Linked DNA regions of Saccharomyces cerevisiae S288C. The gene in region 1 interacts genetically with each later gene. Each region holds a gene or a part of one and is shown in the gene's direction. Other genes may lie near its edges.

What was found.
Region 2: mutations in DPC29 (region 1) and TFA2 together harm fitness less than expected from each alone (positive genetic interaction), as found in Saccharomyces cerevisiae (2 studies listed by BioGRID).
Region 3: mutations in DPC29 (region 1) and YDL124W together harm fitness more than expected from each alone (negative genetic interaction), as found in Saccharomyces cerevisiae (2 studies listed by BioGRID).

What each region holds. Positions count from the first base shown.
Region 1 is NC_001139.9:524,593-532,462, forward strand, and holds DPC29 (post-initiation translation factor DPC29), read left to right. Parts: upstream 1-3,039; coding exon 3,040-3,912; downstream 3,913-7,870. Other genes in the region: YGR017W (uncharacterized protein), read left to right, coding at 1-88; YGR018C (uncharacterized protein), read right to left, coding at 1-102; UGA1 (4-aminobutyrate transaminase), read left to right, coding at 637-2,052; VMA7 (H(+)-transporting V1 sector ATPase subunit F), read right to left, coding at 2,381-2,737; MTL1 (Mtl1p), read left to right, coding at 4,672-6,327; THG1 (tRNA guanylyltransferase), read right to left, coding at 7,291-7,870.
Region 2 is NC_001143.9:556,001-564,114, forward strand, and holds TFA2 (transcription factor TFIIE subunit TFA2), read left to right. Parts: upstream 1-3,665; coding exon 3,666-4,652; downstream 4,653-8,114. Other genes in the region: TIF1 (translation initiation factor eIF4A), read left to right, coding at 1-174; UTP30 (Utp30p), read left to right, coding at 518-1,342; mannosyltransferase KTR2, read left to right, coding at 1,677-2,954; rRNA-processing protein LAS1, read right to left, coding at 4,789-6,297; OAF3 (Oaf3p), read left to right, coding at 6,547-8,114. UniProt on the Saccharomyces cerevisiae protein: Recruits TFIIH to the initiation complex and stimulates the RNA polymerase II C-terminal domain kinase and DNA-dependent ATPase activities of TFIIH. Both TFIIH and TFIIE are required for promoter clearance by RNA polymerase.
Region 3 is NC_001136.10:236,926-244,659, forward strand, and holds YDL124W (aldo-keto reductase superfamily protein), read left to right. Parts: upstream 1-3,333; coding exon 3,334-4,272; downstream 4,273-7,734. Other genes in the region: AAA family ATPase CDC48, read right to left, coding at 1-1,739; HNT1 (adenosine 5'-monophosphoramidase), read right to left, coding at 2,094-2,473, 2,585-2,681; SNA4 (Sna4p), read left to right, coding at 4,493-4,915; ubiquitin-specific protease UBP1, read left to right, coding at 5,627-7,734. UniProt on the Saccharomyces cerevisiae protein: Reduces aromatic alpha-keto amides, aliphatic and aromatic alpha-keto esters, but not beta-keto esters.

The sequences.
Region 1 (7,870 bases):
AGAGGGAAGAGGTGGTGAAAGATGGATTTTCCAGAAAACCGACGGCAAAGACGAAGATCTGTGGGAGGAACAAGAAGTGTGTCCGTGAGAAATGTCAATCATTATTGCTAACGTTCGCGATGGTTAATGCTTTGTATTCGCGCTATCTCGATTTCTACCTATATAGTTAATCTCTGTACAAAAACAATCTTTCCAACTATCCATTAATCATAGTATATTATCAGCGTCGGCGATTTTACCACGCTTGACAAAAGCCGCGGGCGGGATTCCTGTGGGTAGTGGCACCGGCAGTTAATCTAATCAAAGGCGCTTGAAGGAAGAGATAGATAATAGAACAAAGCAATCGCCGCTTTGGACGGCAAATATGTTTATCCATTGGTGCGGTGATTGGATATGATTTGTCTCCAGTAGTATAAGCAAGCGCCAGATCTGTTTACTGTAAAATTAAGTGAGTAATCTCGCGGGATGTAATGATTTAAGGGAATCTGGTTCAGGTTTTCACATATATTTGTATATAAGGCCATTTGTAATTTCAATAGTTTTAGGATTTTTCCTTCTCCCAAAATACTCACTTACTGTGTTACATTACAGAAAGAACAGACAAGAAACCGTCAATAAGAAATATAACTAAGAACAATGTCTATTTGTGAACAATACTACCCAGAAGAGCCAACCAAACCAACTGTTAAGACCGAGTCCATTCCTGGTCCTGAATCCCAGAAGCAGTTAAAGGAACTGGGTGAAGTTTTTGACACAAGACCAGCATATTTTTTGGCTGATTATGAGAAATCTTTAGGTAACTATATCACTGATGTGGATGGGAACACATATTTGGATTTGTATGCCCAAATCTCTTCAATTGCACTTGGTTATAACAACCCTGCTTTGATCAAGGCAGCACAATCACCAGAAATGATCCGTGCTTTGGTCGACCGTCCTGCCTTAGGTAACTTCCCATCTAAGGATTTAGACAAGATATTGAAGCAAATATTGAAATCTGCGCCAAAGGGTCAAGATCACGTCTGGTCAGGGCTTTCCGGTGCAGATGCCAATGAATTAGCGTTCAAGGCTGCCTTTATTTATTACCGTGCCAAACAAAGGGGCTATGATGCCGATTTTTCTGAAAAGGAAAACTTGTCTGTCATGGACAATGACGCCCCTGGCGCCCCTCATCTTGCCGTACTATCGTTCAAGAGAGCGTTCCACGGTAGATTGTTTGCCTCCGGTTCCACAACTTGTTCTAAACCAATTCACAAGTTGGATTTCCCAGCCTTCCACTGGCCTCATGCTGAGTATCCATCTTACCAATACCCATTAGATGAAAATTCTGATGCAAACCGTAAAGAGGATGACCATTGCTTGGCCATTGTTGAAGAATTAATCAAAACCTGGTCTATTCCAGTTGCTGCCTTAATCATCGAACCAATTCAATCTGAGGGAGGTGATAACCACGCTTCTAAGTATTTCTTACAAAAGCTAAGAGACATTACCTTGAAGTATAACGTTGTCTACATCATAGATGAAGTGCAAACAGGTGTCGGAGCCACCGGTAAGCTATGGTGTCATGAGTACGCCGATATTCAACCACCTGTGGATTTAGTGACCTTTTCCAAGAAATTCCAAAGTGCAGGATATTTCTTCCACGACCCTAAATTCATTCCAAACAAACCATACAGACAATTCAACACATGGTGTGGTGAACCTGCAAGAATGATCATTGCAGGTGCCATTGGACAGGAAATCTCCGACAAGAAGTTGACTGAACAATGTTCAAGAGTAGGTGATTATTTGTTCAAGAAATTGGAGGGTTTGCAGAAGAAATACCCTGAAAACTTTCAAAACTTGAGAGGTAAAGGAAGAGGCACATTCATTGCCTGGGATTTGCCTACTGGTGAGAAGAGAGACTTACTATTGAAGAAATTGAAGTTGAATGGTTGCAACGTTGGTGGATGTGCAGTCCATGCAGTGAGATTAAGACCTTCATTAACATTCGAGGAGAAGCATGCTGATATCTTTATTGAAGCATTAGCCAAATCAGTTAATGAATTATGATTGTATATTAGCGAGGCCGTGTCACGTTCCCTTTTTTGGTCTTTATATATGTGTATCTTGTTATAATTTTAAAGAAAAGTTTTATATTACTCATCAGTTGTGTGTGAAAAATATGGGCGGGTATTCACAATAGGAAAAAAAAAATGGGTTTGGTGACTGCAGTAAAGACGTGCTAAAAAAAAAAAAGTTGTTTTTATCTGAACCTTAAATATATCATTTATGAGTGTATATATTATACAAACGCAATAACAGTGGCTCCCGCCCTCCACCTCCGCCTGCTACTAGTAATCTACCAGTAATTGTGTTTGTTTTGGGAAAGATCGTTCGCTTACTCACCGAACAACTTTCTGACTCTCTTCAATACAGAGTCCTTTTCAGGGTCGTAGGGATGATCTTTAGATGGAATTTCTAAAATAGCAGGGAACGCATTGGTGAAGGAGTCCACTCTAGCTCTTATGTTTTCCGCGATATGTTGGTTGATTAGAAGGATGGCAATATCGTCTCTCTCTTCAGTAAAGTGATTAAACTTGTCAGTGATTTCCTCCTTAGTAGTCTTACCTTCTTGGTAAACAAAAAAGTTCTTTTCTTGGGTTTCAGGAGTGATTTGTCCAATCCCGGCTAACAATAAACCAGTTGTAGTATCTTCGTCAGCTATCACAGCTATAAGAGTACGTTTCTCAGCCATGATTTAGTTACTATGCGTCAGTGAGACTAGCTATGAATATAGAAATGTAGTGCTCTATTTTCTTAATTCTTTGTCAACTCGATATAATAAATGTAGTGCTTGCAATTCACGTTGGTTTTCCTGTTATCGTTCGCCTTTATTTTTTTTTTTTCTTTCGTTTTCCTACTTCCCTTTACCGGCGTAAGCGCAGTGAAATTTTTTTAGTACGCACGTACGCAAGTTTCAGCAGCAATAAGGGGAAAGATGATGATAATAACTAAGAAAAACAGCAAACTTGGTATGAACGCATCAAAAATTGGAAAATGTTGGTAAGAAATAGGTATCTGGGTGAACTGCTCAAAAACTCTCGATCGTTTAGTGTGCTGAATTCCTCGGTACGTTCAGGTCACAACAAATGGTCAACCATCAAGCACGGTAAAGCCAAGAATGATGCGGAACGAAACAAAATTAATAACAAGTTTGCAAACCAGATAGCAATGTCAGTCAAGTTAGGCAACGGTATTACGGATCCGAGCATGAATATAAGATTAGCCACCAGCATCGAGCTAGCAAATAAAAACAATGTCAGCAAAAAAGTTATTGAGAACGCCATCCGGAAAGCTTCTGGAAGCAGCGCATCGGGCAAGGACTCAAACGCTTCTGAGCTATGTGTATACGAGGGAATGGGGCCCGGCGGGGTCGCTATAGTGGTGGAAGCGCTGACAGACAACAAGAACAGGACCATAGGTCTGATAAGGAGTGCATTTAATAAAGCTAATGGATCGATGACTCCAACGTTGTTTTTCTTCGACAAAAAAGGATACGTTACAATGGTACCTCCGAAGATGTTAGACACTGAGGACAAGGTGCTAGAAAGCGTACTGGAGATTCAAGGCATCGAAGACATTGCGCCTGTGCAGGAAGACGCAGAAGATTTAGAGTGTGATACCGAAACTGAAACTACAGGCCAAACTTACGAGGCGGTGATGGAACCTGCCGATACCAATAAGGTGGCCGCCCTACTGAAGGAGCGTGGTTTCCACATCAGAGACTTGGGCATCGGCTACAATGCCAAGCCGGATATGGAAGTTTTCGTGCAAGGCGATGAAACGCTCGAGAAACTACAGAAACTGACCACAGCGCTCGAGGACATCGACGAAGTGACGTCGTTGTACACTAACGCTAGCAACGCTTAATCCAACCAAACCGTAAATAAATAATCAATACCACAAATACCTGTATATACTAAACAAACAGTAGTAATAACTGTAATAAAGAGTAAAAACAACAACAAAGACAATCGTACGTAAAAACACCAAGCGGACACCAGCACTTGCCTGCTGCGGACTGTTGTCTGCGGACTGGCGGGGGTCGAGCAAGAACCGACGAAGTAACCGACGGAAGGCGGGCGGAGACGGAGACGCAGCCGAGATCTATTTTTACTCAGCGGTAATATTAGATCATGGCTAGGGGGATCTGGAAGTACAATGATGTGCTCTCCCCCTCTCAAACACAACACCAGGATGAACTAAGGGCTCATCTCGAAAGTCGAAGGTGCCTCATTCAGGTTATTAGTGGTGCCTGTTGTGTCTTCCATGAACAAGGAGCACTTAATTACTTGTTGTTGCATGAGATATCATTTTTTTTTTTCCCTCTTTCTTGGGGTCTTGACAGTCATCAAATCGAAGTTTTTAGTTTTTCTTCTTCGGGAAGATCAATTTTAGGTAGAAAAGTGTAGATGAAAAACGAAGGATACTGCTATTTACTGTAAGTACTCTTCGGTCCATATTGGAAGACCAAGGCATAATAAGGATATATTCCGAGGAGATAATTGGGATATAATCCTCCATTGCTTCCGAAATTTGTTTAAACACTTCTAGTTCATTTCGGGTTGGTTCGATCTTCGTTTCCACTTTTAACTTACTCCCAGTTAGTATAATATAAGTAGTTAAGGTATGGCAAGCTGCAATCCGACCAGGAAGAAGAGCTCTGCTTCAAGCCTATCTATGTGGAGAACGATTCTCATGGCGTTAACAACACTACCGCTAAGTGTTCTTTCGCAGGAGTTGGTTCCAGCTAATAGCACAACATCGAGCACAGCTCCTTCCATCACTTCGCTTTCCGCAGTTGAGTCATTTACGTCCAGTACCGATGCAACGAGCAGCGCAAGTTTATCAACGCCGAGTATAGCTTCAGTATCCTTTACTTCCTTCCCACAAAGTTCTTCACTGCTTACTCTTTCGTCAACATTATCCTCAGAACTTTCCTCTTCGTCCATGCAAGTTTCGTCGTCTTCAACATCGTCGTCTTCTTCGGAGGTTACGTCATCATCGTCATCATCATCAATATCTCCTTCCTCTTCATCATCAACAATAATATCATCGTCATCATCACTGCCGACATTCACTGTGGCATCAACATCTTCGACAGTTGCCTCCTCCACACTTTCCACTAGCTCATCGTTGGTTATCTCTACGTCTTCGTCAACGTTTACGTTTAGTTCGGAAAGTTCAAGCTCTTTGATTTCCTCTTCAATTTCAACATCCGTTTCGACTTCTTCAGTGTACGTTCCCTCCTCTTCAACTTCATCTCCACCTTCGTCCTCATCCGAATTGACATCATCCTCGTACTCATCATCCTCATCCTCATCCACCCTCTTTTCCTACTCCTCCTCATTTTCATCATCCTCATCCTCATCATCCTCATCATCATCCTCATCCTCATCATCATCATCATCATCATCATCATATTTCACCCTCTCCACATCTTCCTCTTCATCCATATACTCGTCTTCGTCATATCCTTCATTTTCATCTTCATCTTCCTCAAACCCTACCTCATCAATCACTTCTACATCCGCCTCATCTTCTATTACTCCCGCTTCCGAATATTCCAATTTGGCAAAAACCATAACTAGTATAATAGAAGGCCAGACCATCCTCTCTAACTACTATACCACAATAACGTATTCACCGACAGCATCCGCATCTTCAGGAAAAAATTCACATCACTCAGGCTTATCAAAAAAGAATCGTAATATTATCATCGGTTGTGTGGTTGGCATAGGTGCCCCCCTCATCCTAATTCTACTAATATTGATTTACATGTTTTGTGTTCAGCCTAAAAAAACGGATTTCATTGACTCTGACGGTAAAATTGTCACAGCTTATCGTAGTAACATTTTCACCAAAATATGGTATTTCTTGCTGGGTAAAAAAATTGGTGAAACAGAAAGATTCAGCTCAGATTCCCCCATCGGCAGCAATAATATTCAGAATTTTGGTGATATCGATCCAGAAGATATACTTAACAATGACAACCCCTACACCCCTAAACACACTAATGTTGAAGGCTACGACGACGACGACGACGACGACGCTAATGATGAAAACCTATCATCCAACTTCCATAACAGAGGCATAGATGATCAATACTCACCTACTAAATCTGCATCATATTCAATGTCGAATAGTAATAGTCAAGATTACAACGACGCAGATGAAGTAATGCACGATGAAAACATTCATCGTGTTTATGATGACAGCGAAGCTAGCATCGACGAGAACTATTACACGAAACCAAACAACGGCTTAAATATCACGAACTATTAAATCATAGCGAAAGCAGCTTTGCCATAACTTTTCTTCTTAAAATCACCCTCGGTCATTTCGTTCTTCTTTTTCCGATTCAATTCCTAATAATTTATGCATATTACAGAACTTTTTTTTCCCTTTTTCTGTCACAGGTTTCCCAATTTTTTTGACGACTAAATAATAACATAACCACTACGTTCACTTCCCCGTATATATACATATATACTTAATATTATAAACGCATATACTTTTATAAACTTGGAATAAGTATTATATATTTATTTTGACCATCCGGAAATGCTTTATTTTACACTTGGAAAGAAAAGTGCATTTGGAAAACTTTTACATGTCACCCAAGTGCATACTGCTGACGATACAGGTTTAGAGACTAAAGAGAGCGCATGGAAGAAAACTTCAAAGGAAGAGAAGAAGGATCGCAGAGTTCAAAGGAACTCTTAATTTGGGCCCATCTTTTGAAAATATTGTCTCTGCAAAAGCTTCGAACACCATTTTGGATCCTCTGGAGAAGGCAAGACAGAATGCAGAGGAAGCTAAGAAATTACCTTGTTAGCTTAAGGTTCCTGTTCCTAAGGGTAGCGGTCACCACAAATGGAAAAGCGACTTTCCCAATGTAATTATTTTTGTTTGTTCCGCAAGTATCTAACAATATGATATATTGCTAGTTGAAAATCGAACACTCGAGTTACTTCCGTGATAGTTTAATGGTCAGAATGGGCGCTTGTCGCGTGCCAGATCGGGGTTCAATTCCCCGTCGCGGAGATATTTTTTATCATCACAAAAATAAGATAGCAAAACTGAAGAAACGATGAGTTAGTTTTAACTTTTAAAAGATCGTCCAATATTAACATAAAGGAACCCAGTTCTTTGGAAATAACAGGAAAGTGCAGAAAGTTCATTAGAAATCAACGATGATCTGATATACATATATATATATATATATATATATATATATAAAGGTTATTAATAGCCTTCGAACAACTCATCTATCTGTGCGATGACGTTAATATGAAGTATTTCTCCTTTTCTTGTTACTAGTGAACCCTTTTTAAACATTTCAGGTTCATTATTGTAGTTTATCCCACATTCAGAAAATAGTATTTCCTGTTTCTCATTACTAAATGTTCCACATAGTTTCTTCTCGGATTCCTGGGGAGTTAAGCCACACTTTATTATTAACTGCCAAAACGTCGTATTATAAAGATTGTTTATATGTGTATCGACATATCTCCAGGATAAATAATCTTTTATCGTTTGTAAATTAGGGTATGCTACACACCTTGAATCGAAATATGGCAAATGCTTGATATTCAACGGCTTTTCTGGGAAAAACTTGGCCCATAATGCGACGTAATTGGACGTGAAAAAAGAACCAAATAAAGTCGCAAGCTTGTCTTTCCTTCTGTTAAATAAAGTTGTACTTGACTTCAAAATAAATGAGTATTCGTCACTCTCCCCGAACGCCAATATAATATCATTTTTGTACTTGAGGACAAGGTTCTTAGCACATGCATTCATTAACTTCAAAGCATTTTCATCGTTT
Region 2 (8,114 bases), on another chromosome or scaffold:
GCTAACAAAGAAAACTATATTCACAGAATCGGTAGAGGTGGTCGTTTCGGTAGAAAGGGTGTTGCCATCAACTTTGTTACTAACGAAGACGTTGGCGCTATGAGAGAACTAGAAAAGTTCTACTCCACTCAAATTGAAGAATTGCCATCCGACATCGCTACTTTGTTGAACTAAGGGAGACAAAAACTTCTTAAAAAAGTATCTTGTGAGGCTATCTTGATAACGTAACATATATTTCTAAAAAGTTATATATGCTTTTTGTATTTAATTTGTTTTTCTTTTTACATTCCTATTATTCTTCAAAGTCCAAAAGACTCTCGGCACGAAGGTTGAAATACCCTATACTAATTGTTTGCTTTGTCTTTTTGTATATATCCGAACGTATCTATCTGAAATTTTTCAAATTTATAAAAAATAATATATATAAAAGGAAAAAAAAAAAAATCGATGCCCTACTAATAGAGATTGGAGCTGAAAAGAAAAAGTGTACATCAAACGCTATATCTCGAGGTTTGGGATGGTTGAGTCAAATGATATTATAAAAAGTGGGCTGGCAGAGAAAGCACTAAAGGCTCTAATTTTACAATGTGAAGAGAACCCATCTTTAAAAAATGATAAGGACATACACATAATCATCAACACGGGCAAAAAAATGGGCATAAACAGGGACAACATCCCCCGTATTATTCCATTAACAAAGTACAAGCTATTTAAACCAAGGGACCTAAACATATTACTCATTACCAAGGATCCCTCTGCCTTGTATAGAGAAACTTTGACGAAAGACGAGCATACGTCGGAATTATTCAAGGAAATTATAAGTGTCAAGAACTTGAGACGTAGATTCAAAGGGAGTAAACTGACCCAACTTTATAAAGATTTTGACTTGGTCGTTGCCGATTACAGAGTTCACCACTTACTTCCGGAGGTTCTTGGTAGCAGATTTTATCACGGTAGTAAAAAATTGCCATACATGATCCGCATGTCGAAAGAAGTAAAATTGAAGCGTCAACAAATGGTCGAAAAATGTGACCCCATTTACGTGAGAGCACAATTGAGAAGTATATGTAAGAATACCTCATACATTCCCAATAATGACAACTGCTTAAGCGTCAGGGTCGGTTATATTCAAAAACACTCCATACCAGAAATTTTGCAAAACATCCAAGATACAATAAACTTTCTCACTGATAAAAGTAAGAGACCGCAAGGCGGCGTCATTAAAGGAGGAATAATATCTATATTTGTCAAGACCAGTAACAGTACTAGTTTGCCTATATATCAGTTTTCAGAGGCTAGAGAAAATCAGAAAAATGAAGATCTGAGTGATATTAAATTGTAAAATTAAAGCATCATCTTTTAAATACGGTATTTAAACACTCCCAATGAAAAAGCGTGATTTTGTCTAACTAATTATAGCATTAATAAAGTGTTTTAAACTTTAATTCCTTTCAAGAATTTGCAAGATTATAGAAATTTAGTAAGCGAAAAAAAAAAAGAAAAAAAAAAGAACAGACACCCTATAAAAATAGAATAAACATAATAAGCCACCATTTGCCTGTCTGATGATATTCTTGATTCTTTATATCTCTTCAGGTATGTGACACCTATACATGCAACGCTTTTTTTGCGTTTTTTCTATACAATAGTTGTTTATTTAAAAGCGTAGGAGCTTCATGCAAATCTGCAAGGTATTTCTTACACAGGTTAAAAAACTACTTTTTGTTAGTCTTCTATTTTGCTTGATAGCTCAAACATGTTGGCTTGCACTTGTACCATATCAGAGACAGCTGAGCCTAGATTCGTATTTTTTTAGAAGATCTCGAGAAGTTTCATCGAGATATGATTTTACAAGGAGGCGACATATGAATCAGACGCTGAAGCTATCTAGCAACACTTATAATGATGAACCACTAAACAAGACCAAGGGAATAAAAAATCAAAGAGAAAATGCTACATTGTTAATGCTTGTGCGTAATTGGGAACTTTCGGGGGCACTCCGTTCCATGAGATCACTAGAAGACCGTTTCAATAAAAACTACCAGTATGACTGGACATTTCTTAATGATGTCCCATTTGATCAAGAGTTCATCGAAGCCACCACAGCCATGGCTAGTGGTAGAACGCAATACGCTTTAATCCCTGCGGAGGACTGGAACAGGCCATCTTGGATCAACGAAACTCTATTTGAAGAGGCTTTACAATTAATGGAGGAAAAAAATATCTTGTACGGTGGGTCAAAGTCATATAGAAATATGTGCCGATTTAATTCTGGATTTTTCTTTAGACAAAAGATATTAGATCCGTACGATTTTTATTTCAGAGTTGAGCCAGATGTAGAGTATTTTTGCGATTTTCCCTACGATCCATTCAAGGTGATGAGGCAGAACAATAAGAAATATGGCTTTGTGATAACTATGTATGAATACGAAGATACAATTCCGAGCCTATGGGAAGCTGTAGAAGAATATCTCGAAGAAACAGAGTCAGCAGATATTGACATGGAAAGCAACGCTTTCGGGTTCGTATCAAATTTCGACTTCATCGGTAAATCTTTTGGTGTCATCGATAGTAACAGCGGCTATAATTTATGTCATTTTTGGACAAATTTTGAAATTGGCGATTTGAACTTTTTCAGAAGTGAGAAATACATTAGATTTTTCGAGTACTTGGATTCAAAGGGCGGTTTTTACTATGAAAGGTGGGGAGATGCACCAGTTCATTCGATTGCTGCCTCACTTCTTTTGAAAAAAGACGAAATCATCCATTTTGATGAATTAGGCTATAAGCATATGCCTTTTGGCACGTGTCCATCTGCATACTACCTGAGACTTCAACAAAGATGTCTTTGTGATAGCAATCACCCAGACAATATTGATCTCAATGTCATCAGCTGCCTGAGAAGATGGTGGAAGGACGGCAGCGGTAAATACTTCCTCAAACACGATTCATAGCGAGAAAAGCGTGTATCCGCATACTATAAATACGTATATATAACAAAGTAACCATCAAGAAAGATGTTCCATACCTCAGGTCATCACCATTTCATGGGTCGCTTAACCGAAAATATCAGAAGCAACCTCTAACGGCGATGGTTTTAAAGATGGATTACCTCAGCACCAACAGTTACACTATTCGGAACCGAAGATTTATCTACGATACTCATTATCCTTTCTCTATCTCACCCTGAAATAATTTATTAAAAATAAACTATGCCAAAGAAGAGAAAAGAGAAAAATTTAAAAAAAACGAGAGCCATTGCAACAGTTTTGGAAGTAAGAATAGGTTGAAAATTAGTCAAAAAGACAAATCCGGCTCCTATAAACCATCAAACAATAGGCTCCCTAAAGCATCACAAATTGTTATGCTTTCTTTTAAGAGAAATGTTTTTTAAAGCATCAAAGGTCCAGGGCAAGAAAAATTCTTTCTGGTAGCAAATGCTATAGTTCACGGCTTTTATAGTCAAAATGTTATATGCGAGAAGAAAAAGAAAAGCGCGAGCTTACTTCGGGTAAGAAGTTCACTTACGAATCAGGGCAAAAGAGCTAATAAGAAGTGAACTAGTTACATAACCGTGTGCTCTGTAGAACACGAGAAAGCTGTTACACAGAACTGTTTTATACCAAGTAGTTCGTTCGATTTGGAAAAGAGAGTAGTCTTTTGCGATGAGTAAAAACAGGGACCCTCTACTGGCTAATTTGAACGCTTTCAAAAGCAAAGTGAAGTCTGCCCCGGTGATCGCACCCGCTAAAGTTGGACAGAAGAAGACCAATGACACAGTGATTACTATAGATGGAAACACTAGGAAGAGGACGGCCTCCGAACGTGCGCAAGAAAACACTTTGAACTCTGCGAAAAATCCTGTGTTAGTGGATATCAAGAAAGAAGCTGGGAGCAATAGCTCTAATGCTATTTCATTAGATGACGACGATGACGACGAAGATTTTGGTAGCTCTCCTTCAAAAAAAGTAAGGCCTGGCTCTATTGCTGCAGCCGCTTTACAAGCAAATCAAACAGATATTTCCAAGAGTCACGATTCTTCAAAGTTGCTTTGGGCGACTGAATACATTCAAAAGAAAGGTAAGCCCGTTTTGGTGAATGAGTTATTGGACTACTTGTCAATGAAAAAAGATGACAAGGTTATTGAGCTTTTAAAAAAATTAGATAGAATAGAGTTTGACCCCAAGAAGGGGACTTTCAAATACCTTTCCACCTACGATGTCCATTCCCCTTCGGAACTGCTGAAGTTGTTACGTTCACAAGTAACATTCAAAGGTATTTCCTGCAAAGACTTGAAAGACGGTTGGCCACAATGCGATGAAACGATTAACCAACTGGAGGAAGACAGCAAAATTTTGGTGTTAAGAACTAAAAAGGATAAAACTCCAAGATACGTTTGGTATAACAGCGGTGGTAACTTGAAATGTATTGACGAGGAGTTTGTTAAAATGTGGGAAAATGTGCAATTACCGCAATTTGCAGAATTGCCAAGAAAGCTGCAAGATTTAGGTCTAAAGCCTGCTAGTGTCGATCCTGCTACTATCAAAAGACAAACAAAGAGAGTTGAAGTTAAAAAGAAGAGACAAAGAAAGGGTAAGATTACTAACACTCATATGACCGGTATCTTGAAAGATTATTCCCATAGAGTATGAGGTTGTTTTGATTAAATCATTTTCGTTTGCATATTAGGTTAAAGAGACTGTGATTATATATACATGCACGTTAGGGTGCAGCATACAACTCAGCTTTATAGTCTACAACGTATTTATAACGAGCATTGGAAACAGGTTACAGGACACCAAAGGGTTTGGGTTTCCAATTTTGAACCCTTGACCAATTTTTTACTGGTGTAGCTCTGTTCTCCTCTTGTTTATTTTTTTTACCTACTGTTCCGAAACTGCTCATTCTCTGTTTCAAAGACGCCAAATCGCCTAGTATATCATTGGTATCAGCCTTTAATGCCGGACTCACTTCCTTCTTCAATGGAACGGAATCTTTTTCCGCAGGAATAAAATCATACAGCTTTATTTCACCTTCATTAAACCTTAATGATAAATTGTCTATGTTTTCCTTCAGTTTTGCCTCGATTTCCACTGTGCTATCAATTTGTTTTCTCCGTTTTTTGTTTCTCCATGAGTTACCAGTAATTTTTTCAGTCTCTAGTTTGGCCAGCATAGATTGGCAAAAATACAATATCAAGTATGACGCATTTTCATCAATAAGTTTCTCCCAATTTTGCCATTTATTTTTAAAATTTTTATTGTTAAGGTTATTTATAATAACATCTAACAGCCTTTTTTGTAGTTCTTTCCAGGCATTGAATTTCCTTTTTAAAATTGTCGTTATATTACTATCATCTTGTTGGGTTCTGTAATTCCTAGCTACCCACTCAATGACCTTCCAATCAAAATTGTTCAAATTAAGCATTAAAACTTTGAGTAAAAGTGGGTCATAATTGTTAAAAAATTTCTCAAGAACCACATTGTGATAAATGGATAATTTCCAAAGTTCTTGCCATTGACGCAAATTTTCCCTGATCATAGTTTCTGATGAACTTGCGTGTGAACTTTTCCTCTTTTCGGCATCATAGTTCACCAAATTATCCCCAGAAAAGTTACTACTTGTAATTAAACTATCGTTTGCATTCTCCCACACCCATTTGTATTCCAGAAACTCGTTTCTAAGTCGCTTCCATTTATCAAGTGTTTTAGTTAATGACTCCATATATTTCTCCAGTTTATCATTTCTTCTGTATCCGTAACCGGTATCATCATCATCGTCATCATCATCCCTGTCATCTTCTAATTCCTCATCGTTCCAGTAGTGATCATATAGCCAAGATAACGCTTCATTGGCGGCCCAACGAAGCATTTCTAATCCAGGTAAATCTCTCTCATGTGTACCCCAGTGTCTCAAATCAACAAACCAGGACGGCAGTCCAATTTTAGCAGCTAATGTGTGTAAGGGAATAGCGAACTGAGATTGTTGCGTTGGATCCAATAAGCCATTGACAAACCGAATCAAAGCCATTACATACGATAACCGGATAGGAATAGAATCCTGATGTACTCCTAAACACGCTTCCTTTTCGTCTAGCAATACCGCACATGTTATTTGTGCTGTAGAGTCCACCACGTGAGGTAAATATTGGGAACCCTTTAGTCGGTAGCTCTGTACTCTTTGCACTGCACGCTGTCGCTTATCTTCAATGGTTCCTTTGCTTTTCGGGTAAAACCAAAGTTTCAGCTCCTCTAGTTCAGCAAAATCCCTCCATGGAACGATTCGTGGTGGTATCATTAGATTGCCCTTTTTTCATTGCTTTCTAGAAATGACTTTTGTTTAAGCTAATTTAGGCATTCTTAGGTATTTTTTTCACTCTTTCTGCGACTGCGATGAGCTTATTAATCTTTCACATTCGGGTAATTTTTTGCATAACAATAAGTCATGAATTTATTGTTGCGATTTTGCAGTGTTATGAGTCTATGAAGAGAAGAAAGAAACTAGAAACCAATTGATACCAGACTTTAGTTGACAACTGATCTCATAATGGGATATGACTCCCAAGTTAGGACAAAAAAACGACATCGAATTACTGTAGTATGCACAAATTGCAAAAAAAGGAAAAGTAAGTGCGATCGAACGAAACCATGTGGAACATGTGTACGACTGGGAGATGTGGACAGCTGTGTCTATCTCACCGATAGCTCTGGACAACCTGAAAGCAGTCCTTCATTGAATGATGCTGACCCTCTGAGGAAACAATCAACTCCTGCGGAACGAATAAGTCCAGGTTTCATTAAGAAAAGAAGATCGTCACAGACAAGACAAGACGAAGATCACTGGCAAAGAGTACGAGAACTTGAAAATCAATCATCACTTTATTATCTACCAATTCATGAAGAAACTCCATTTTTTATTGACCTCATCCCTAATGGGTTTTATTTAGAGACCAAAAGGTCTGCTGATAATTTATTTGGTCTGTTCACGGATAGAGCAATTGAAAATCGCGACCCCTATCTCCAAGCAATGGTAACATTTAGAAGTATCGCAATCAAAAAAATGATGGATAAATTGGGAAGCAACGGCAATAATGTGAAAAATGGAAGCTTGCCTAAATCTTTCGAAGCTTTATCCACTTTCGATGCTGATGACGAACGCCACATTAGCGATGATGTTGTTGGTAAGGGCAATAACTTCCGCATGCATCAGACTATTCACAAATCATTGTTTAACAAATTCGCTCAATACAGAGAAAATAATGCTAAAAAATTCAGCTCAGAAACTATATTAGCAAAGGATTATTTGCCTCCTTTAAAAATACTTGAAAGTGAGGTTTTAGCACTTTTTGAAGAAAAAATTTACAATATGATACCGATTTTCGATATGAAAGTTTTGCGTCATGAAATAACGATATTTTATCAAAATATAGTCGAGAAAGGGAATCCAATTTCTATAAAACACTACGATCATATGGTTTTCTGCATAATCTTGTTGATTATTAAAATATGCCGACTTTCTGTCCAGTTTTCGAAGCTAACTCCATATATATACCCGGTTCTTCAAGAAATTGATACCTCTAAGTTTTTGGCTCTTGTTAAACACTATTTGTTCGAGACGAAGGTCCTCAGAAAATGTAATTTATTACAGTTGCAATGTCTCATATTACTAAGGTTCTTGCACTGGTGTGCCCCTGAAGATGGCGATGGACCCGAAACTCAATATTGTCAAATCTTAATGGGGACAATAATATCATCATGTAAAGAAATGGGCATTAACTGGTATTGCTTCTCTCATCCAGAAAAATATTCATTTAAAATAAACCGACATACGAGGCCTTCATACGATATAATGAAACCTAGCGATTACATTTCAGTTTTCAGAAAGATATGGAGTTATGTTTTATTTTGGGACAGGAAGATGTGTTTTATTAGCGGTGAAGAATGTCAAATTGGGAAAACCTTGCAGTGCCATTTCAAAGAAGAAGCAGATACACCCACATGGTATATACGAATGTTAACCCTGGATAACTTGATGAAAAAGATAAACGATACGTTGAACGATGATCCAGGAAAGGTAGATTTGAACTTGTTGCACCGACTAATAAATGATTTAAA
Region 3 (7,734 bases), on another chromosome or scaffold:
GCAGCTGCTCTTGCCTTATCAAAAATATCACGGATGTTAGATTCCGATTCACCATACCACATACTCAATAATTCTGGACCTTTGACTGAGATAAAGTTGGCAGAAACCTCAGTAGCTACAGCTTTTGCTAACAAAGTTTTACCTGTACCTGGTGGACCGTAGAACAACACACCCTTTGATGGTGATAACCCAAACTTTGTGTATTGGTCTGGATGTAAGACTGGGTATTCTACAGTTTCCTTCAATTCCTCCTTGATTTCATCTAGGCCACCAACGTCATCCCAAGTAACATTGACACTTTCAACAACGGTTTCACGCAATGCAGATGGGTTTGAATTGCCCAATGCGAATCTGAAGTTGTCCATGGTGACTCCTAAAGAATCGAGCACCTCTGCATCAATTTCATCTTCATCTAAATCTATCAAGTCCATTTTTTCACGGATCTGTTGCATGGCAGCTTCAGAACACAAAGAGGCAATATCAGCACCCACGTAACCGTGTGTTTCAGCAGCCAATGCTTCCAAATCAACATCATCAGCCAACTTCATGTTCTTGGTGTGAATACGTAGAACTTCAAGTCTACCTGTAGCATCTGGGATACCAATGTCGACTTCACGATCGAATCTACCAAATCTTCTTAAAGCGGGATCAATCGAATTTGGTCTATTGGTAGCAGCAATGACAACAACATTAGATCTTGCCTTCATACCATCCATTAAAGTTAACAATTGAGAGACAACTCTTCTCTCAACTTCACCATTAGTCTTGTCTCTCTTTGGAGCTATAGAATCGATTTCATCGATAAAAATGATGGCTGGAGCGTTCTTTTCGGCTTCTTCAAAGGCCTTTCTTAAGTTAGACTCTGATTCACCAGCCATTTTTGACATGACTTCTGGACCATTAATTAAGAAAAAAAAGGCACCGGTCTCATTAGCAACAGCTCTTGCCATCAAGGTTTTACCAGTACCAGGGGGACCATACATCAAAACACCTCTTGGTGGCTTGATACCGATAGCCTTGAACAACTGAGGATGTCTCAATGGTAGTTCAACCATTTCCCTAATTTGAGCCATTTGCTTACGACAACCACCAATATCATCGTAACCCACCTCATTCATATTATTTTCTTCATCTTCCCTGTTGATTGGCTCACCTTCCCAGTGAATAATAGTATCCTGAGCAACGACGGCATATTCTTCAGGTTCGACATCCACAACCTTGAATTCGACTTGTCTCATACCGCCTCTGACAACAAAATGGTCGCCTTTCCTCACTGGTCTGTAGGCTTCCACAAAATAAGGCTTCAAAAAAACATCGAAAAGATTACCAGTTATACCTTCGATCGTATCAGCAATTGGTAACACAGAAATTCTAGTAGCGTATTTGATATCGGGGCAAGGATGAATTGTAACTAAATCACCCAGCCTAATACGTAAATTGTTACGAACTACACGGTTTATCCTGCATGCTCCGTCTTCTAATTCGTCATCGATCAACACAATTAAGACAGTATCTTTTCTCTTCTTGCCCTTAACGAGAACGGTGTCACCACGGAACAATTCCAATTTGTCCATGGTGTTAGAATTAATAGCAATGACAGAATTGTCATCATTGATAGCATCGTCCACCAAAAGCATGTTGTCCTTCTTCTTTCTTCTTAAAATGGCGGTGGCGGTTTTATCCTCCTCACGAGGGTCGACACCCGAGGCGTCCAAAAGTGGTTTATGTTCTTCACCCATGATTTGTATATCTGTCTTGTAGTTGAGCCAGTTATCGAGTCAATGGCGTTGAGTCAAATCTTAATAGAACTAGATTAATTGACTACATCAACTGCGGATCTCTTAAATACACGGCCCTGATATATGTCCTTTTTTGCCACCGAATTCACATTCGAGGGGTTGCCGGGTAGTGCGCAAAAGGCGGTAGGTTAAAAAGGAAGGAGTTAGAGCTGTTCATAAGGTATCGATAGCAACGATGGCTAGTAACATGATTGTTAGCATTATAGAGTGGATATGAATGGAAGCAAACACACCCATATGTATAAACTTAAATATGAAAAGAAAACGCTAAAAGAAATCATAGCATGCATTACTCTAATCGGAGCCTTCTAGTTTGGCAAGCAATTCCTTGTGTAGCTTGCCCAACTTATCGAAGTCCGTTTCTTGGGCTGGCCACCCTACAATCAAACCACTTTTCTCATCTCTCTTAGGAATCAAATGGAAGTGGACGTGGTCGACTTCTTGATGCGCAATTTTACCATTATTCTGCAACACATTATAAGTGTCCAACTTCATTGCCTTGGCCAGTCTCTTGGCAATCGGCATAGCATCGGTAAGGAATTCGTCCGGGATGTCATGCAACTTCGCACCATGGTACTTAGGAATGATTAAAGCATGACCTTCAGCAGTAGGTTGGATGTCCAAGAAAGCATACGAGTACTTTGTTTCAATCAATTTGAAGGATGGAATTTCGCCTGTTGCATAGCGGATCGATTGTTAGTATTCTGCTTTATGTATATGTACTACATAGAGACTATCGCCATCATTGGTGTGAGTGTAAGCTCTTTATTAGTAATGTGACATACTTTTAATAATCTTGCAAAAAATACAGGCAGCATCAAGCGTAGCAGGAGCAGACATTTTTGTTGTTGTTAGGTACGGTGCCGATATCAATGGCTCCATCAATGTTTCTTAAAAGTCTGGAAGGCGTGCTGATTGTCCTTTTACTTCATAATGTTCTCCGCTTTCCAGTCGAACACACATCACATTACACGATCGTACAGCAATGCTTCAGTAGGGCGGTAACTTCTTCAGAAGAGAACGGACCCGCCATTATTTCTGCAAGGAATATTCTGTAACGATTCGCACCATATCTTAAAGCTTCTCAAGCTTACTGTTTTATGTGACCTCCTTTTGTACTTTTCAAGTTCTGTAGACAAGTGTCAATTCAACCTTTGAGGCTACGTGGCCAACAAGGTCTTGCGCGATTTACCGGTGTTTCCTTTGCGCCCCCTGCTCATGCCATCAAAACGGCACGCTGTTTTGTAGAAGCCTCCATGCGTCTCCTATTTGGGTCCTTGCAAAATAGTCTAACGAAAGCGCGGAGAATTAACCGGAAAAAGGAAGTTGCCACACTCCCCTTACTAATCCACACCTAGGATCTCCTTTACTCGTATTTTGAATATCTACGAAAACACTCACATACGCTCATCCCATATATATATATATATATATACGGATATATTGATAGTCGGATACTACGTGGATATGGATACACATGTAAACGGTTGTGTTACCCTAAAGAAACGGAGGTCAGTTAACAACACTTTTACAGATGTCATTTCACCAACAGTTCTTTACCTTGAATAATGGAAATAAAATCCCCGCAATCGCCATCATTGGGACAGGTACTAGATGGTATAAAAACGAAGAAACGGATGCTACCTTTTCGAACAGTTTGGTCGAACAGATTGTTTATGCTCTGAAGTTACCTGGCATTATTCACATTGATGCTGCTGAGATCTACAGAACATATCCAGAAGTTGGGAAGGCACTTAGCCTCACCGAAAAACCAAGAAATGCAATATTCTTGACAGACAAGTACTCACCTCAAATCAAGATGTCAGATTCCCCAGCGGATGGACTAGATTTAGCTTTGAAGAAGATGGGCACTGACTATGTCGATCTATACCTTTTGCATAGCCCATTTGTTTCCAAAGAGGTCAACGGGTTAAGTTTGGAGGAAGCCTGGAAGGACATGGAGCAATTGTACAAATCAGGTAAAGCTAAAAATATCGGTGTTTCCAACTTTGCTGTGGAAGACTTGCAAAGAATTCTGAAAGTTGCGGAAGTCAAGCCCCAAGTTAATCAAATTGAGTTCAGTCCCTTCTTGCAGAATCAAACACCAGGGATCTACAAATTTTGCCAAGAACATGATATATTGGTAGAAGCATACTCGCCACTAGGTCCCTTACAAAAGAAAACAGCACAAGATGACTCTCAACCGTTTTTCGAATACGTGAAAGAGTTATCCGAGAAATATATCAAATCTGAAGCCCAAATTATCCTACGTTGGGTGACCAAACGTGGCGTGTTGCCTGTAACCACCTCTTCCAAACCTCAAAGAATTTCTGACGCGCAAAATTTATTCTCTTTCGACTTGACGGCTGAGGAAGTCGATAAGATAACGGAGTTGGGCTTGGAACATGAACCGCTAAGATTGTATTGGAATAAATTGTACGGTAAATACAACTACGCTGCTCAAAAAGTATAAATACCGGATAATTTATGTACGAGTCATATTTGTTTTGTATAACTTTATTAATCGACTTTTTTTGTCAGGTTTATCACCCCGTTACCCATCCCGCCACTTTTCAGCATCGAGGAAGAAAAAAGGGCTGTACATTATATAAAAGGCCATCAAAAAATACCGGAAGAGGGCATCTCCCCAATAAAGGTGCCACACTGAGCAGAGACAGATAGGGACGCGCATCATGTGTTGCTACTGTGTTTGTTGTACCGTTTCTGACTTTATACTGTATATTGTTGCGTTTTTTTTCCCCCCAGCTGCAGTCCTTCTTCGATCTGGGCCTTGTTCATCTGATTTCCTCCTGAATGTATTGCTAACGCTACTGGGATTTTTGCCCGGTATGTTACACGCATTCTACTACATCACAATTACAAGTCCTTTAAGGAACGCTGAATACGTCTATTATTACCAGCAAGGCTGGGTGGATAGCGAAAGAAACGTTCCTTCGAATCGTCCTCAAAACTCGCAGACCCCCCAAAACCGCCCACAACAAGGAAGCTCCGCTAGAAACGTATACCCGAGCGTTGAAACTCCTCTGTTACAAGGCGCAGCTCCCCATGACAACAAACAGTCTCTGGTTGAGTCTCCTCCTCCTTATGTGCCATGATGAAGCTACAGCAAGGAAAATGAAAATTCCAGCAAGCAAGCAAGCGAAGACCGTTCTTCTCTTTCCTATGATCTTCCTTAGCAAAGAGGTTTGCCAGTCAAAGTAAAAGAGCTGCCATTAAGAAATGTATTTCATTTTGACAGCTTCTTCGATCAATACCGCCAGCTCCCTCGAGCCTATAACTATTTTGCGGATCTGTAAGCCGTAATGTTTTTCCCATAAACGTCACTGAATGTCCATATATCATACTACCAGTAAGCGCCTGTTGGAAACCTTCCTACCTTCATACGTGTATTCTGCTATATCCCTTCTTTTCCTCTTTACGTACAGAATGACATCTATGTAGGCAAGTTTCTTTTTCCATCATTGGAAAACGAAAATACATTTTTCACTAGCACCACAAAATTTTCAAGATGGCCAGGCTAGTTAAATCTATTATACAATAATTATTGGTTATATATTTAAAAAACAGAAACATTTTTTGCTTTAAAAGCACGCCATAGTATTGCTTTTAATATTGTGATCTGCGTCCTTTTTTTTCTCAGGAAAAAAAAATTTTATACACATTCAAAGAATAGAAGCGATTGTCAAAATTCGCTTCTCCTTTCTTTTCCATTATAACGTCTGATCATTTTACGTCTTCAGTGCCCTCCCTTGTTCGAAACTAGATACTTTCGAACACTTCTCCCCTTTTAATCTACAAAATTTTGTATGGATTTGTTTATTGAAAGCAAGATAAACAGTTTATTACAATTTTTATTTGGTTCCCGACAGGATTTTTTGAGAAATTTTAAAACTTGGAGTAACAACAATAACAATCTATCGATTTATTTATTAATTTTTGGCATAGTAGTATTTTTTTATAAAAAACCAGACCATCTAAACTACATTGTTGAGAGCGTTAGTGAAATGACAACAAACTTCAGAAATAATAATAGCCTTAGCCGTTGGTTGCCCAGAAGTAAGTTTACCCACTTAGACGAAGAGATCTTGAAAAGAGGTGGTTTCATTGCTGGTTTAGTTAATGATGGTAACACTTGTTTTATGAACTCTGTTTTGCAATCATTGGCATCATCCAGAGAATTAATGGAGTTCTTGGACAATAATGTCATAAGGACCTATGAGGAGATAGAACAAAATGAACACAATGAAGAAGGAAACGGGCAAGAATCTGCTCAAGATGAAGCCACTCATAAGAAAAACACTCGTAAGGGTGGCAAAGTTTATGGTAAGCATAAGAAGAAATTGAATAGGAAGTCAAGTTCGAAAGAAGACGAAGAAAAGAGCCAGGAGCCAGATATCACTTTCAGTGTCGCCTTAAGGGATCTACTTTCTGCCTTAAATGCGAAGTATTATCGGGATAAACCCTATTTCAAAACCAATAGTTTATTGAAAGCAATGTCCAAATCTCCAAGAAAAAATATTCTTCTTGGCTACGACCAAGAGGACGCGCAAGAATTCTTCCAGAACATACTAGCCGAGTTGGAAAGTAACGTTAAATCATTGAATACTGAAAAACTAGATACCACTCCAGTTGCGAAATCAGAATTACCCGATGATGCTTTAGTAGGTCAACTTAACCTTGGTGAAGTTGGCACTGTTTACATTCCAACTGAACAGATTGATCCTAACTCTATACTACATGACAAGTCCATTCAAAATTTCACACCTTTCAAACTAATGACTCCTTTAGATGGTATCACGGCAGAAAGAATTGGTTGTTTACAGTGTGGTGAGAACGGTGGCATAAGATATTCCGTATTTTCGGGATTAAGCTTAAATTTACCGAACGAGAATATTGGTTCCACTTTAAAATTATCTCAGTTATTAAGCGACTGGAGTAAACCTGAAATCATCGAAGGCGTAGAATGTAACCGTTGTGCCCTCACAGCAGCGCACTCTCATTTATTTGGTCAGTTGAAAGAATTTGAAAAAAAACCTGAGGGTTCGATCCCAGAAAAGTTAATTAACGCTGTAAAAGATAGGGTCCATCAAATCGAAGAAGTTCTTGCCAAACCAGTTATTGACGATGAAGATTATAAGAAGTTGCATACAGCAAATATGGTACGTAAATGCTCTAAATCTAAGCAGATTTTAATATCAAGACCTCCACCATTATTATCCATTCATATCAACAGATCCGTATTTGATCCAAGAACGTACATGATTAGAAAAAATAACTCGAAAGTATTGTTTAAGTCAAGGTTGAATCTTGCCCCATGGTGTTGTGATATTAATGAAATCAATTTGGATGCTCGTTTGCCAATGTCAAAAAAGGAAAAAGCTGCGCAACAAGATTCAAGTGAAGATGAAAACATTGGCGGTGAATACTATACGAAATTACATGAACGCTTCGAGCAGGAATTTGAAGACAGCGAGGAAGAAAAAGAATACGATGACGCAGAGGGGAACTATGCGTCTCATTACAATCATACCAAGGATATCAGTAACTATGATCCCCTAAACGGTGAAGTCGATGGCGTGACATCCGATGATGAAGATGAGTACATTGAAGAAACCGATGCTTTAGGGAATACAATCAAAAAAAGGATCATAGAACATTCTGATGTTGAAAACGAGAATGTAAAAGATAATGAAGAACTGCAAGAAATCGACAATGTGAGCCTTGACGAACCAAAGATCAATGTTGAAGATCAACTAGAAACATCATCTGATGAGGAAGATGTTATACCAGCTCCACCTATCAATTATGCTAGGTCATTTTCCACAGTTCCAGCCACTCCATTGACATATTCATTGCGCTCTGTCATTGTTCACTACGGTACCCATAATTATGGTCATTACATTGCATTTAGAAA